Linked DNA regions of Rattus norvegicus. The main gene of each other region encodes a partner of the protein of the gene in region 3 in a complex. Links are inferred from orthologs where the notes say so. Each region holds a gene or a part of one and is shown on either strand. Other genes may lie near its edges.

Region 1 (3,863 bases), on a different chromosome or scaffold from region 3:
TTCTATACCAAATGGAGAAAAAACTAGAAATTCTGGTCATTTGTGTCCATTTTTTAGATGTCAGTAATTTAACTCACGGGGCCTTTATAACAGGAAAGTAAATAACGTGTGTGTTGTCCCAGACCTGGTATGGAACAGCTAGATTATATGCCCTGGCTTGTGCTGTCCCATCCAAGTTGCAAAGCGGACTCTCTAGGGAGACTCCCCAGGGTGGAAAGCTCAGCCAGCTTCGGAGAGCTGCAGTCTCTGCCCTGATACTTCCCGGCTTACAAAAGAGAGATTTACATGACTTAGATTTGAAGTTTCCTTCCTCACATGCTTTCTTCACTGATTTCCTGTCTTAGGAACAGCTTTTCAGAGTGCTCTGTGCTCTCAGTCAAGAACAGCACTGTCTGCCACTGTGTCTGCCTGGAGGGCTTCAAGTAGGAAGTCTGAATATCTATGTGCAATAGACTTGACTATTTGGATGCTAAACACCCAAACTGGGCCTTGATCCTCTGCCAGCTCCCAGTCCAGCAGCTCAGAGAGTGCAGACACACCCTGTCTGACTAGAGTCGGAGCCCAATCAGGGCAGGGACCGAAAGGAGTGGATGGGATTACTGTTCCAATAAATCCCAAAAATGTTTTGATTGAGATGCTGTTGCTCCCATTAAGTAGCAAAACACCAACAATAAAACACGTGGCCTGGAGCCAGCTGAATGTGGCCTTGGAGACTCAGAGCCATAATCATAACCTAGCTTTATGTAGCTTACCCTACCTGTGGCTTTAAAAGCTACACCAGCAAATAGCGAGATGCTTAAGGAACTTTGAATGCATCTGTATTTAAAACTGTTCATCTTACTGTTCTTTTTTTCTTCTTCTTATGTTTAAGATAGGGTTTCTCTGTGTAGCTCTGGCTGTCCTGCAACTCCCTTTATAGACTAGGCTGGCCTCAAAATCCACCTGCCTCTACTAGGATTAAAAGTGTGGGGGCATGCACTGAGACTAGCTGGCTTATCTTACTGTTTTTCAATCTTTATGTTGGTTTCTCATTCCTAAGGATGATCTAGGGCAGCATGGGTAAATGAAACTAGCAAGACCAGGGAGACTCAGGATGCAGGCTACTAGGATATCCCCACCTTACCCAATCCCCAACCTACCCTGGAGCTGGGAGCTGTTTAGGCTACAAAGGTGTGGAGAGAAGCCCAGGGTCTTTAAAAAGAACACCCTCCTCTGAGGCAGCAGGAGACTAAGAATCAAAACTGATATCATAACACAGAAGAGGCCTGGATCCCTGAAGGAGAAGTGCCAAAAGTCGATGACATATAGCCCTCCTCAGATTTTGTACAAATGAGCACCTTTGTAGATATTTAGCTGTGGACATTTGGGGACGTCTTACCGCAGACTTAGGTAAACTCTGACTTGCTGGGCTTTTGGGAGCTTGGGAGTGCCCAGTCACGTAACCTCAGATAAAGTATCTTGGAGGAGGAAAATGTCATTGTGTTGATGAGAAGACAGACTCTAGTCTACCCCTTGGCTATCTGTATAAAGGTATTTATCCTCTGTAGGCTTCACCTTCCTCATCTGTAAGCATGGCTTGGAAGCCGTAGGGACCTGAGGAGTCCGATATGGGATGGAATGAGATAATCTCAATAAAGCGTTTATTTGTGAAAAGTGTGAATGGTATCTGACCCTTAGCGAGAACTAGAATCTTAGCTGTTCTGGTGACTACATTGGGCCCTATATTCCACAAACTCATTAAGGTCAACTGTGGAGATGAGGCAAGAAAAGGATAGAAGCTATCAATTTTACTGTGTGTTGTACAAGGCATCATCTGACCTCTATGCAAGAGCCATGATATATACACACATAGTACACACATACACATACAAAACTAAAATTAAACAAAAAATTAAAACTAAAACGACGTTTTCATTTAGTTATACGGAAGTAAATTATAGCTGCTAACCTAAAGAGGGACAATCTCTGAGCACATTTATCCTTTTGTATGTATGTATGTATGTATGTATGTATGTATGTATGTATAAATGCATTTATTTGTGGTTATGCACACACATATGTGTACATGTGCATACAAAGCTCAGAGATTGGTTGCAAGTGCCTTCTTGTATCATGCCCCTTTGAGATAGAGGCTCGTACTGAAACTGGATCTCACAAATTCTGTGTGATTCACAGCCAGCAAACCCTAAGGATCCTTCTGTCTCTGCTTTACCAGTGCTGGGATCATGAGCATCCTGAAGTACACAGCTTTTACAAACTCAGCTAACTACTCATGGTTGTGTAGCGAGTACTTGATCAATTAAGCCATCCCCCATCCCTGAACTTATGTATCTCTGTGCACTCCAGTCACTACAGGATACAAACTGCACTCTCCTGGACTTTCCCTGACCACCTGGACCCACGACTCCCCAAGGACACTTGCTAAATTATATTAATGTGGGGAAATAGAACCACGTGAGGCAGGCAAGAAAATACATCCCATAAGATCATTATTTTTTACTCATGGCGTGCACTCACTGAAAAGGATGTTAGCCCGAAAGCTCGGAATACCCAAGATACAATTCACAAACCCCATGAAGACCAAGAAGGAGGACTAAAATGCTGACGCTTCAGTCCTTCTTAGAAGGCGCTACAAGCACACTCACAGGAGCAGAGACTGAAAGGCCATCCAGAGACTGCCCCACATGGGGATCCATCCCATATACAGACTCAAACCCAGACAATATAGCAGATGACAAGAAGTGCATGCTGACATAGCTTGATATAGCTGTCTGCTGAGAGGCTCTGCCAGAGCCTCACAAACACAGAGACAGACGCTCGCAGCCAACCGCTGAACTGAGAACAGGGTCCCCAATGCAGGAGTTAGAGAAAGGACTGAAGGAGCTGAAGGGGTTTGCAACCCCATAAGAAGAACACAGTATCAACCAACCAGACCCCCCAGAGCTCCCAGAGACTAAACCACCATCCCAAGAGAACACAGGAATGGACCCATGGCCCCAGCCACATATGTAGCAGAGGATGGCCTTGTCGGGAATCAATGGGAGAGGAGGCCCTTGGTCCTGTCAAGGCTCGATGCCCCAGTGGAAGGGAATGCTAGAGTGGGGAGGTAGGAAGGAGTGGGTGGGTGGGTAAGGGAGCACCCTCAAAGAAGCAGGGTGGGGTGGGAGGTGGGATAGCGGGTTTCTGGAGGGGAAACCAGGAAATGGGATAATGTTTAAAATATAAATTTAAAAAAATGCAATTAAAAAGGAAAAAAAAGATCATTATGTTGTGATACAACCCGTGACAGTACACTTTCTCACATGTAGGGCGTGGCCATCACAAATCATCAAATACTTAAGCCTAATGTTTCCCCTAAATTAGCCTTTAGTGAGTTCCATTTTCCCATTACTTCATCCCACAATTCCTCAGAAGGAGAGCTCACCACTTACCCAATACATGGATTGGTCTGGTATCTCGGTGCTGTGTAGGAGAACGGAGAGATGTCCTTGTCAACAAAAGACCCGAAACCTAACCGGAAGTTACTAGTGAGCTTCCTCATCTCCTCCGCAAGCTTGGTGCCCAGGCTCCGGATGTTGTCCAAGTCATCCTTCATGGAGAGGGAGAGGTCCATCAGGTAGTACAGGTCTACGGGATAGTCCTCCACCTGGCGTACCTGCAGCTGGAAGGTAGCCTGGTCACCTGTGCCAAGAGAGGTCACCCCATTAGAGGTCATGTGGCTTGCTGGGGCAAATGGTGGATTCTCATTTCAAAGATCTTTTCCCGCTGTAGAATACTGGTCTGACCCAGGGCTTATCTGACCCTACAAAAAAATTAAAGCAATTCTTCTTGGGAGATGGTGCACCATCAAAAAGCAAGATTTT
Region 2 (3,863 bases), on a different chromosome or scaffold from region 3:
CTGGGGGTGTGGCTCAGTGGTAGAGCACCTGCCTAGAATCCCCCAGTGAGGGGCTGGGGGCGTGGCTCAGTGGTAGAGCCCCTGCCTAGAATCCCCCAGTGAGGGGCTGGGGGCGTGGCTCAGTGGTAGAGCCCCTGCCTAGAATCCCCCAGGGAGGGGCTGGGGGCGTGGCTCAGTGGTAGAGCCCCTGCCTAGAATCCCCCAGTGAGGGGCTGGGGGCGTGGCTCAGTGGTAGAGCCCCTGCCTAGAATCCCCCAGTGAGGGGCTGGGGGTGTGGCTCAGTGGTAGAGCACCTGCCTAGAATCCCCCAGTGAGGGGCTGGGGGCGTGGCTCAGTGGTAGAGCACCTGCCTAGAATCCCCCAGTGAGGGGCTGGGGGCGTGGCTCAGTGGTAGAGCCCCTGCCTAGAATCCCCCAGGGAGGGGCTGGGGGCGTGGCTCAGTGGTAGAGCCCCTGCCTAGAATCCCCCAGGGAGGGGCTGGGGGCGTGGCTCAGTGGTAGAGCCCCTGCCTAGAATCCCCCAGTGAGAGGCTGGGGGCGTGGCTCAGTGGTAGAACCCCTGCCTAGAATCCCCCAGTGAGGGGCTGGGGGTGTGGCTCGGTGGTAGAGCCCCTGCCTAGAATCCCCCAGGGAGGGGCTGGGGGCGTGGCTCAGTGGTAGAGCACCTGCCTAGAATCCCCCAGTGAGGGGCTGGGGGCATGGCTCAGTGATAGAGCCCCTGCCTAGAATCCTCCAGTGAGGGGCTGGGGGCGTGGCTCAGTGGTAGAGCCCCTGCCTAGAATCCCCCAGGGAGGGGCTGGGGGCGTGGCTCAGTGGTAGAGCCTCTGCCTAGAATCCCCCAGGGAGGGGCTGGGGGTGTGGCTCAGTGGTAGAGCCCCTGCCTAGAATCCCCCAGGGAGGGGCTGGGGGTGTGGCTCGGTGGTAGAGTACCTGCCTAGAATCCCCCAGTGAGGGCTAGAGTGTGACTCAGCAGTAGAGGGCTTCCATGTCATTAGTAAGGCTCTATGTTCATTTCTGAGTATGAAAGAAAGAAGATAGACAGACAGACAATGACTGAAACCAAAAGTGCCCCGACACCAGCTCCCTTCCTTCTGCTTCTGCAGTGTTACTGTGTCTCTAGCCACAGAGCTGACACAGATCCCACAAGCTACAGATACCATCCCCAGCAGGTCTGTTCCTGCTCCAGACACCAGCTGCGCACTCAGGCATCCCCAGGCCCTCACACACTTCAGGCAACTGCGTTCCAGTCCAGTGACCCCAGGTTTGAGGGTGTGCTGTGTAACCAACTCACAGAACTCCACATGGTGCTGCGGGTCACAGCCGCACCAAGCGAGGGCACCTTCCACCTCTCCCAGCCCATCTTAGGTTTACTAACTGGGATGCCACTGAGGCCACGCCTCCAGGGATTCCACTGAGGTTTTAAGGCATTGGTCTCTAGCCTGCTCCTGGGAATCCAGGCTGGCCAGAAGCCCCAAGCCTTCAGTCAGGGTCAGTAACTGTGGAACCAGCCCTGATGTGACTCATTTGCATAGACTCAAGTGTCCTCCAGAGGGCTCATAAATAACAAAGATCCCCCTGTTCCAAGGACTTCGAGTCCTTCTCCCCAGAGCCAGAGACAAAACCAGACAGATTCTCTCTTCGGAAACACCAGCAAAACTGGATTCGAAAACATCAGACCCGATCCCAAATGGGTTTTTAATGACTTCCTCCCTAAGGAGACGTATCCGTTAGGGCCTCGCCTTATCTTGGCCATCTGACAGTATCACCGGATAGACAGAGCCAAAATGGGGCCAGTGAGATGGCTCAGTGGGTAAAGGCGCTTGCTGCCAAGCCTAACGAACCTGAATTCCATCCCCAGGACCCACAGGGTGGAAAGAGAGAACTGACTCACAAATTGTCCTCTGACCTCCATACTCTCTCCGTGGCATGTGTAGTCCCCTCACCCCTAAGCCCATACACACACACACACAAAAATAATAAATGTAATTAAAAGAAGTAACAGTCTGATGAGATGGCTCGGCAGGTAAAGGCATTAACCACTAAGCTTTACAACCTTAGTTTAATCCCCAGGACCATAACGGAAGGAGAAAACTGATTTCTGCAAATTGTTTTTTAGTCCCCATATATATTGGCATACATCTCATTGAGCAAACACACACAAAAATAAATGTAAAAAAAAATGATTGGGGTTGGAGATTTAGATTCAGTGGTAGAGAGCTTGCCTAGGAAGCGCAAGGCCCTGGGTTCGGTCCCCAGCTCCGAAAAAAAGAACCAAAAAAAAAAAAAAAAAAAAAAAAAGATTAACTTGAATAACAGAACCAGAGTTAGGGGTGCTGAGACAACTGGGCATGCCCAGTCCTGCCCTGTGTCCCACCAGCTTGCTGTGGGCTGCAGAGCAGCATTCCTGACTTCTCCCCTGATGCTCTCTTCTTCCTTTCTCTTTGGATCGGCACCGCCGATGACCCTCATAGCGGGCAGTGCTACTACCAGACTGTGGTAACTCCAGTCATCGAACAGATCCTCCCTGACTCACCCGGCTCCCACCTGCCCCACACAGTCACCCTCGTGTCTATCCCAGCCTCTGCTCATGGCAAACGAGGCCTGTCTGTCTCCATCGACCCCCCTCACGGCCCACCAGGATGTGGCACGGAGCATTCGCACACGGTCCGAGTCCAAGGGTGAGTGGGCTGCCACGCTGGGTGGGGCCCTGTTGTAGCGACCTGGTTCTATTAGCTCTCTGCTGCTGTGACAGGATACCTGACACAAACAACCTGAGTGGGGAGAGATTGGTCTTAGCTCACGGTTCGGAGGGCTCTAGTCACTGAGTCAGGTTATTCAGGCCCAAAACACCCAGGTACTAGAAGCAGGAGGAACTGAGATCGCTCCCCCAGAACCCATTTTTACAAAATCCAGGGGCTGTCAACATGGCTTGTCAGATAAAGATGCTTGCCACCAAGGCTGACTGACATATTGAGTTTCATTCCCAGGTCCCACAAGGAAAACCAACTATCTTCTGATTGACAGACAGACAGACAGACAGACACATACACACACACACACACACACACACACACACACACACACCGACAAAGAAACAGACCTGAAAGAAGAAGGGGATCCATGCGAGTGGGAGGGGAACAGGAGGGGTGGAGGGGAGTGTGATCAAATGCACTACGTAGTGTATGAAGGCGCCGTAGTGAAGCCTGTGGTTGACATAGTTAATAGATGTAATAGTAAGACAGAACTGGAGCTGGAGAGATGGCTCAGCGGTTAAGAGCACCGGCTGTTCTTGCAGAGGACCAGGGTTCGGTTCCCAGCAACCACCTGGCGGCTGACAACCTTCCAGCTCCAGACACCTCCAGGCCACCAGGCATGCATGCATGTGGTACATAGATGTACACGCAGACAAAACGCCTGCGTAAAGTCTTTTATTTGGTTATAGGTAACAACTAAAACCACAGTATTCTGCGATTTCCACCTCAGGTGGTATCGTTCCTTCCCACCCCACACCTGGTGCCCTTGGCTTTTGGTTTCCTCTTGGGGCTCAGGGGCACAGGTCGTAGGAGAACTCGTCTAACCATGCCTTTATCCCCAGAGTGGACCCGGGCTGCATGAGCCCGGATGTGAAGAATTCCATCCACATCGGAGACAGGATCTTGGAAATCAACGGCACGCCCATCCGGAATGTGCCGCTGGACGAGGTAGGACCACAGAATCAGACAGATCCGAGGCTGGGCAGGATGGAATGGTGGAAATAGAAGCTTCACCCCTGAGCTCTGTTGCCACCTCAGAAGACTCACCTGTCCACACCTGTCCCCAGATCGACTTGCTGATCCAGGAGACCAGCCGCCTGCTCCAGCTGAC
Region 3 (3,863 bases):
AGTAGAAGGGTACAGGGAGGGGGCTAGAGAGATGGCTCAACAGTTAAGAGCACTGATGGGGCTGGGGATTTAGCTCAGTGATAGAGCGCTTACCTAGGAAGCGCAAGGCCCTGGGTTCGGTCCCCAGCTCCGAAAAAAAGAACCAAAAAAAAAAAAAAAAAAAAGCACTGACTGCTCTTCCAGAGGTCCTGAGTTCAATTCCCAGCAACCACATGGTGGCTCACAACCATCTGTAATGGGATCTGATGCCGCCTTCTGGTGTGTCTGAAGACAGCTACAGTGTACTCATATATAATAAATAAATAAAAATATAATCTTTAAAAAAAAAAAAAAAGAAGAATGCATGGAGCAGGGGTGAAATTTTGGGGACACACAACCTGTGAAAAATGACCACGAAGCTCATCAGGTCATGGGAGTGTTCAGGGTGGGCTGTCTGGGGACTGTGGTGGGGTCTACCTCACAAGCTACTGGCTTCCGGCTGACCTGGGTTGTGAAAGGCCCATACAGATTCAGATGACAAGAGGGGCTTTCTAAGCAATGGAGAGAAGTCTAGGCTCTCACATGACCCTATAGGGTCGCAGAAATAACCAGAAAGACCCTAGCCTGGACCCAAGCACTGTGGCTGCAGGTGCCCTGATGACTCTATCTCTCCCAGCAGGCCCTGGTTGGTCACCGGGAGAGGATGAGTCAGCCGCAGTGCCAGGCACCCAGCCTGCTGACCACAGGCGCGCCCAACTCCACCCAGTGGGGACAGCTCTGGCTGCACTCCTCTGGGTCCCACCACCCCTGGCATGAGTCCAGCCAGGGCACTCTTATCACTAGGCCTGCGTGGCTGTAGTCCCTGCCTAGGCTGTGAGACCACAATTCTCCCATTGTGCACCGAGGCGGGAGAAGTGTGAGGATCTTGGGTCTAGACCTCAGGTCTCATTTCAACTGACAGTTTGCTCAGGATGCTAAGACTGGATGGCTTCTGCCCTGCTCCCATCTGCCTCAGCTGCTCCCCAGACCTTGGAATGCAGCTTAGGTATCCCCTAGCAAGCCCGGAGGTTGTCTGGGAGTGGGCTGTCTCCCATGTCATGAAGCACTGGGAGACCAAGGTTGAGTGTGTGGTGCTGGGGAAGAAGGAGTGGAGGTCAGAGGTCAGCATGGGCTTCCAGGACTGCACTGGCAGCTGGAAGGCTGGCACTGGGCTACAGAGGTAAGGGGTTCTGCAAAGAGGCCAGGGGCAACTGAAGGGCTGGGCTACTCTGTCAGCATGGGCTGTGGGGTAGACGTGGTGTGGTGATGACTACCTTGGGGGCTCCAGGCTGGATGGAAGTGATGCAAGCAGGGTCGATCAGGGGCTTGGGTCTGCGCGCTGACTCCTCAATCAGGCTCTGCCACTGGCGGGGAAGCCCTGTGAACTTCTGCTCATGCTGATCGAAGCCTGTGTGTACGCGGTGCTCGAAGTTGGATGGGGCCGAGATCTCCACCCGCTTCTTCTTCTTTCCAAACATGGTTCCAGGACCTTAGCACAAAGTGTGTGAATGGTGGGGTGGCCTGGGCTCTTACAGGCACCTGCGGGAAGGAAGCACCAAGGGAGGTGGGATCAGTGGCAGGTGATCTGTCTGTCACTCAAACCTTCCCCGTTCTCTGAGGCTGCCCTGGTTGGTTCAGCAGCTCTCCCACAGACCAGCAGGGGGCAGCAGCCTCCTCCTGGGCCCTCTGAGCAGTTACTTTTGTGGTTCCTCTTGAGCAACTAGAAGGTCAGGCCCAGCTCTCTCCTCCTCAGAGCCACAGCTCCTTGTGGCCCAGAGACCTATACAGCCACCAGCTTCACATCAGCTTTCAGACATCAGGGCTTTAGCACAGGCAGGCAGTCCCCTTGCCTGTTATCCCAAGAGCTCCCCTCCTCCCCTCCTCCAGGTCCCCGAGTCTCTACTGATTACTTTTCTAACCACACAGCCTGCTGGCCATCACATCACCTTCAGATGCCCTTCACCGACAGGGAGACTGCTCTTGTTCTTGTGTGTCTTTTGTCTCCCTCCAACCCCAGTAATGACAACCAGTGAACAGTCCCCACCTCTAGTCTGGCCACTACAGACACATGGGATGCCTCTCCACACTGTGGCCTTCTCCAACTTTGGGGCCTGGATCTTCAACTGGGCACTTACATAAATACCCAGTAAAGGCTGGTCAGGAATCCAAGGGAGAGCCAGGCAGGTGACGCACCCCTTTAGTCCCAGGACTCAGAGGCAGAGACATGTGGATTTCTGTGTGTTCAAGGCCAGCCTGGTCTACATAAGTGAGTTCTAGGCTAGTTAGAACTACACAGAGAGCCTGCCTCAATAAGGGAGCAGGAAGCTGGAGAGAAAGCTTAGCAGGTAAGAACACTGGCTGTTCTTCCAGAGGACCTGGGTTCAATTCCCAGCTCCTACACGGCAGCTCACAACTGTCTATAACTCTACTTCTAGGGGATACGACACCCTCTTCTGACCTTCAAGGACATTAGCAACACATGTGGTGCCCAGACACATATGCAGGCAAAACACTCATACACAAACTTTAAGACTATTAGGGCTGGAGAGATGACTCAGTGGCTAAGAGCACTGACTGCTCTTCCAGAGGTCCTGAGTTCAATTCCCAGCAACCACATGGTGGCTCACAACCATCTGTAATGGGATCTGATGCCCTCTTCTGGTGTGTCTGAAGACAGCTACTTATATACAAAAAATAATTAAATATTTAAAAATAAAGACTATTAATAATTTTTAAAAAGTAAATTAAAAATAATCAACATCTGTAACAACAGCAACAACAAAAAAATCAACAGATGAGCCCAGCCAGGAGCACAGGCTGAGTAGCTGCAATCCCAGCTCCTGAGGAGGCAGGAGCATGGCAAGTTCAAAGCGTTCCCCGGATAGAGTGGATTCAGGCTATTCTGAATAGTCAGTGTGGTGAAACTGTCACAAAATAAAATGATAAAAAGGTCTGGGGCTACAGCTCAGCAGCAGAGCACATACAGCAGGTGGGAGGCCCTGGGGTCCATCCCAGCTCAAGGACAAGGTGATGGTGGCACCTCACAGAGACTCAAGCAACGACAGACACTAGGCAGCTTTGCAACAACTCTTCTGCCTCTCACTACCTGGGTCCTGGGTGATCGAGGGACTGAGACCCTCCCTGCCTTGGACCAGCCCCTTCTGCCCAGGAGACTGGCCCTGTGGGAAGAGCCTGGAGTCATACAGACCTGGTCTGAAGTGGCTGGGCTAGAAACACCCTTGTGTGGGTGACGTCTCCTCCTGAGGCTTTGAGTTACTCATCTGTAAGACAGGAAAAAAGATCCATCAGTCATTCCATCACTAACACCCACTGTACTCTGGCTGACAGTGGGACATGATGACAACCCAGACAGCCTGTGACCCACTAAGGTCTACATGGGGCAGATGTCCCTAGTTAGTGACAGTGAACACTGGTAGGGACTGGGCCCACAAAGTGCTACCCAGCCATGGAGGGATGGCAGGTGTGCTAAGGGGAGGCTTCCTTCAGGAGGCCCAGAGGACCAAAGGGTACCAGAGGACTTTCATCGTCATTCCAACTGCCTCTCCAGTACTGGCAGAGCGCTGGGCAGGCACAGAACCAGCACCCAGCCCCAGAGACACTCAGCTGGGGAAGTGGCTACAGACAAGTGTCCAGGGCCCAGCCAGGTCTCCTCATCTCCAGGCATGGCTCTCTTTCTTGGGAGTCACTGGCTCAGTCTACTAGAAGAACATTAGTGGGCAGCCAGCCAGGGAAACCGGTTTGGCAGCCGAGCCAAGTGAGAGGCAGGTGGGGACGCAGCAGCCAACCTGTCTCAACTGGTCCCAAGGGGCCTGCAGGCGGCCAGC
Region 4 (3,832 bases), on a different chromosome or scaffold from region 3:
CACAGCTTCCTGCCTCTTGCCTGCCCCACCAGCTGCTCCTAAAATAGTTTCAGATGTTTCCTGCCTTGAGCCGCTCATGCTCCTGGTTGAGGCTCTTGAGGGCTCACCAGTGCCCTCTGGTCCACACTAGGTCCACACTCTGTCTGCCTCTGCTCACCTACAAAATCTCCCCAAACCCCTTCCCATACCAGGGTGACAGAACTAGTTCAGCAGGTGACCGGCCAGAAACCCAAGCCTGGGCTGAGAGTTCTGGTGTTTGAGCTGAGCTGTGAGGGTGAGGATGACGAAATGGCCTTCCCACCTCTGCATTATGAGCTGTGATGAGGTGGCCACCACGCCACCACTTGGCCATCACGAACTCTGCATACAATTCCTGCATCTTCAGCCCACAGCGGATACTTCAACAATAAAAGCTTGTTGAAGGAAGGCACAAGTGGAGTGGATGGTAGAGCAAACAAGGGTGATATGGGTAATATGATATGGGTGATATGGGAACCTGGGGAAGAGAGAGGGAAGGTTCTAGACTGGCCTGTCTTAGTTGTGCTTCACGGGGATGGGGACACTTCCTAAAGCCTCAGGAGTATGGAACCAGCAGTTTAGAAAAAAAACCAAAAAACTTTATTGTCTCTAGCTGGAGGGCAGGGTCAGAGGTAGCTGACATCATTGTAGATAATAGGTTGGCGGCTTCGACAGTTCATGAGGGCTGCAAATCGTGAAATGTCCGCAGGCAGGTCAGGTTCTGGGCGAGGTGGGCATGACAACCTCTTGCCTGCCATAGCTGTCCGTCGAGCCCTGGCCAACCTACGCCGTAGCTGCTCAGAGAGACCAAGCAGGAACTGGGGGGGTCGAGCACGGGCTCGGGGAACATCTCCATCACTTCCTTCACTGGTCGCTTCGGGCAACTCCATCCAATTGTGAACTAAATCAGCAAAACAGTTATCCCCTAGCACCAGGGGCTGCCGACTGCGGCCCCTGTTCAGCAGGGCTGCCGTCCAGTCCTCTGCTTCCAATCCCTGCCAGTGTTCCAGGCAAGCATCAGGGGTGGACTTGGGCCTTGGACGGTGGGCAGGAGGTATGTTGGTTACAGCTGCCCTACTGCGCACGGGGAGGTCACTCACTGAGAAACGCTGGCTATGAGGTGGACGTTCTGGGGGTGCCTGGCGCCGGGGTACAGACAGCTCTTCTTCTCGCCATGTACTGCCTGACACCTCTGAGAAGCCAGAGTCCCAATCTAGGGCATGTTCCCTAGGACACCCCAGCGGTGCACCCCTGTCTTCTGCTACCAAGCCTTCCTCCTCTTCCTCTTCTACACAGCAGACAGAGTCCTCTTCCAAAACATCGGAGGCCCTGAACCGGCGCTTGGGCTGTATATTTTGATCAGTTTTAGGTTTTGGTTGCAGTGGGCCAGGCATTGGAGGTGAGGCTGTGTCCCGAGCACACAACTGGAGAGAAAGATAGGGCAAATGTTGGACAGGGATTTCTTAGTCCCTGACCCCGTAGTGTCTAACCAAGCCAGCTCTGAGAAAGGAGGGTTCAGAAGGATTTGAAAATCCTCTGGGCAGCAAGGCAGAACTGTAAGCGCAGGGCCCACATGGGGGCACTGGCACTCGAGGCTCATGTGGCTCCCATCCACAGAGCTGGTGGCAGTCCGGCAGGCTGCAGCACGCAGGGCCGGGCAAGTCAGCACGCGCCACCAGGGCGGGCAGGCAGAGTGGAGGAAGGAGGTACAGGCCAGCCCATGGTAGGGGATGTCCACAGCAGCACAGCACTTCTTTAGGCCTTGGGTGCTCCCTGACGGTCCCCAAAAGAAACTTCTTTCCCCAACTCTCCTCCCCCGCCTCTCTGCGGCCGGCACGGCCAGCTGGGCGCCTGTTACCTGATGCCCAGAACAGTTCCCAACCGTCAGAAACCCGAAGCGGGCCATCTGGGCCATCTGTAGCGCACTACCCTGCCCCCATCCTGACTCTGATGGGCACCCGGAGTCCACCCCGTTGCCGTTTGTTGTTCCAGCCAGGCGGCAGCCACGCACTCCACACACATCTTCACAACCACACCCACTCTAAAGACTCACCAGTTCCCAGCGGAGCTGGCTCAGGAAACTGTCAAGCCGAGCGCTGTGCATGTTGGTGCTGGTGCTGAACACTCTCCAGGTCCGCCCGCTCACCGCCGATCACCCGCGGGAGCGGCGCAGAGTGGGCCGAGTCGGCCCGCTAGTGGCGTCCTCACCCTTGCCTTACTCCAAGGCTCCTTACTCCCTCAGTAGCTCCGGCCGCTGCCGCCCCAACATCTGGCAGCCGCGCCCCGCCCCGCCCCCGGTACCCTAGCCAATGGAGGCGGGGCGAGCTGAAGATGCCCTGCCCCTTTCAGCCCCGCCCTCCAGCCTAGCTCTGCTGGTGGAGCCTGGCTGTAGAAGCTCGTGAGCTCCGAGTGCAGCTCAGGACCCTTCACGTCTCAAAAACTTTAGCTAACCCTGCTGTAGCGCAGTTCCGTCACGACCCCCTCCAGCCCCCGTACGTTCATCCCGTGACCTCATCTTTTCAATTTGTCCCCTGGTGAAATAGCGGTTTCTTGTGCTGGGGCCCGATGCGACGCCCACGTTTGGACACTGCACCCTATCTTCCAATTGACAATATTGTGGCCCACTCGGGGTCTGTCCAGGCTGGCCTTGACTATCCCTGGAAATGATAGGACCGAGTTTCCTTCCGCCCGGTGAATACTCCGCGAAGAACCTTAAAACAGAGAGAGTAAGGGAAGGGCCATGGCTAACTGCCCTCCAGCATCCCTCTAGCCTGATCTGAGCCGAGATAGCCTGGACCGCCCTCTAGTGGGGATCGCGTCGCTATGGTCTGCATCCTCAATCTGCACCACTGACCTATAGGTTGTGTGCAGGAATGGAAAAGGAAAACTGCTCTTTGGCTCCAATGTTCAGAGTCTTTCCCCTGAGGCCACTCCACAATCAGAGGTACAGTCTAACTGGAGACAGACTGGATCTTTCCGCAGACAGCAAAATATAAGAGAATGAAGGCAATGAGTTCAGTTAAGAGATAGGACTCTTAAGGGGCTGGGGATTTAGCTCAGTGGTAGAGCGCTTACCTAGGAAGCGCAAGGCCCTGGGTTCGGTCCCCAGCTCCGGAAAAAAAAAAAAAAAAAAAAAAAAAAAAGAGATAGGACTCTTAAAAAGATATGACCTGGGTTGGGGATTTAGCTCAGTGGTAGAGCACTTGCCTAGCAAGCGCAAGGCCCTGGGTTCGGTCCCCAACTCAGAAAAAAAGAAAAAAAAAAAAGATATGACCTATCTTGGGTCAATTCATTTGAGTGCAGTGAGGAAGGGCATTTTAGGTGAAAGGGTTTGCCAATGTAAAGAATATCGAGGGACAAGGGTTAGGCAGACCAAACGAAAGGAAAACACGGATGTGTGTGATGAATGGGGCAGGGGTTTGTGGATGGAGAGAAGTCATCAAAACCAAGCCTCCAAGATTTATGAGAGTCTCTGGGTTTTATTTTTGGTGCTATAAAAAGCACGGAGCTTTTTTCAGTGAATGACCAGGGCTATTTTCTGCAAGATACAGTTGTTTTGGGAGAATAATCCTGCAACCAAAGGAGGTTCTGGCCTTTCTCCCAGGCCAGGGTATGTGTCTGAAAGCCTGGATCTGAACCCAGAGGGTAAACAAAAGCATCATTCTAGATTCCAGAATGACTCTAGAGCTAAGCCTGAGTGGTGCACAGATGCAGGTAGGTAAAACATGGCGTCCAAGTTTCCAGTATGAACAGCCGGCTGGCTGGCACTGCCATTAAAAACACTCAGTAGAAGGAAACTTCTGCTCCCCTTTCC

What was found.
Region 1: the proteins of Pak4 (region 3) and Itgb5 are in contact, whole or in part, in a crystal structure (PDB 7S46), measured with the Homo sapiens proteins. The link is inferred for Rattus norvegicus from reciprocal best matches to the Homo sapiens genes PAK4 and ITGB5. Residues at the interface, in NP_001014831.1 of Homo sapiens: Gly330, Ser331, Gln358, Arg359, Leu362, Thr404, Lys442, Ser443, Asp444, Asp458, Phe461, Leu475, Val476, Gly477, Thr478, Pro479, Tyr480, Trp481, Met482, Glu507, Glu512, Phe516, Asn517, Glu518, Pro519, Pro520, Met524; in NP_002204.2 of Homo sapiens: Ser762, Arg763, Ala764, Arg765, Tyr766, Glu767, Met768, Ala769, Ser770.
Region 2: the proteins of Pak4 (region 3) and Limk1 are in contact, whole or in part, in a crystal structure (PDB 6WLY), measured with the Homo sapiens proteins. The link is inferred for Rattus norvegicus from reciprocal best matches to the Homo sapiens genes PAK4 and LIMK1. Residues at the interface, in NP_001014831.1 of Homo sapiens: Glu329, Gly330, Ser331, Gln358, Arg359, Leu362, Thr404, Asp440, Lys442, Ser443, Asp444, Phe461, Leu475, Val476, Gly477, Thr478, Pro479, Tyr480, Trp481, Met482, Glu507, Phe516, Pro520; in NP_002305.1 of Homo sapiens: Lys505, Arg506, Tyr507, Thr508, Val509, Val510, Gly511.
Region 4: the proteins of Pak4 (region 3) and Inka1 are in contact, whole or in part, in a crystal structure (PDB 4XBU), measured with the Homo sapiens proteins. The link is inferred for Rattus norvegicus from reciprocal best matches to the Homo sapiens genes PAK4 and INKA1. Residues at the interface, in NP_001014831.1 of Homo sapiens: Ser331, Gln358, Arg359, Glu361, Leu362, Thr404, Asp440, Lys442, Ser443, Asp444, Phe461, Leu475, Val476, Gly477, Thr478, Pro479, Tyr480, Trp481, Met482, Arg489, Glu507, Glu512, Phe516, Asn517, Glu518, Pro519, Pro520, Met524; in NP_976248.2 of Homo sapiens: Gly178, Arg179, Ser180, Arg181, Gln182, Pro183, Leu184, Val185, Leu186, Gly187, Asp188, Asn189, Cys190.

The regions. Positions count from the first base shown.
Region 1 is NC_086029.1:80,404,196-80,408,058, forward strand, and holds part of Itgb5 (integrin beta-5 precursor), read right to left. Parts: intron 3,682-3,863; coding exon 3,432-3,681; intron 1-3,431.
Region 2 is NC_086030.1:27,679,881-27,683,743, forward strand, and holds part of Limk1 (LIM domain kinase 1), read left to right. Parts: intron 1-2,470; coding exon 2,471-2,677; intron 2,678-3,594; coding exon 3,595-3,700; intron 3,701-3,819; coding exon 3,820-3,863. UniProt on the Homo sapiens protein: Serine/threonine-protein kinase that plays an essential role in the regulation of actin filament dynamics. Acts downstream of several Rho family GTPase signal transduction pathways.
Region 3 is NC_086019.1:92,985,387-92,989,249, forward strand, and holds part of Pak4 (serine/threonine-protein kinase PAK 4), read right to left. Parts: intron 3,300-3,863; 5' UTR 3,227-3,299; intron 1,558-3,226; 5' UTR 1,497-1,557; coding exon 1,293-1,496; intron 1-1,292. UniProt on the Homo sapiens protein: Serine/threonine-protein kinase that plays a role in a variety of different signaling pathways including cytoskeleton regulation, cell adhesion turnover, cell migration, growth, proliferation or cell survival.
Region 4 is NC_086026.1:117,552,280-117,556,111, forward strand, and holds Inka1 (PAK4-inhibitor INKA1), read right to left. Parts: upstream 2,287-3,832; 5' UTR 2,123-2,286; coding exon 2,072-2,122; intron 1,443-2,071; coding exon 645-1,442; 3' UTR 596-644; downstream 1-595. Other genes in the region: Uba7 (ubiquitin-like modifier-activating enzyme 7), read left to right, coding at 192-321. UniProt on the Homo sapiens protein: Inhibitor of the serine/threonine-protein kinase PAK4. Acts by binding PAK4 in a substrate-like manner, inhibiting the protein kinase activity.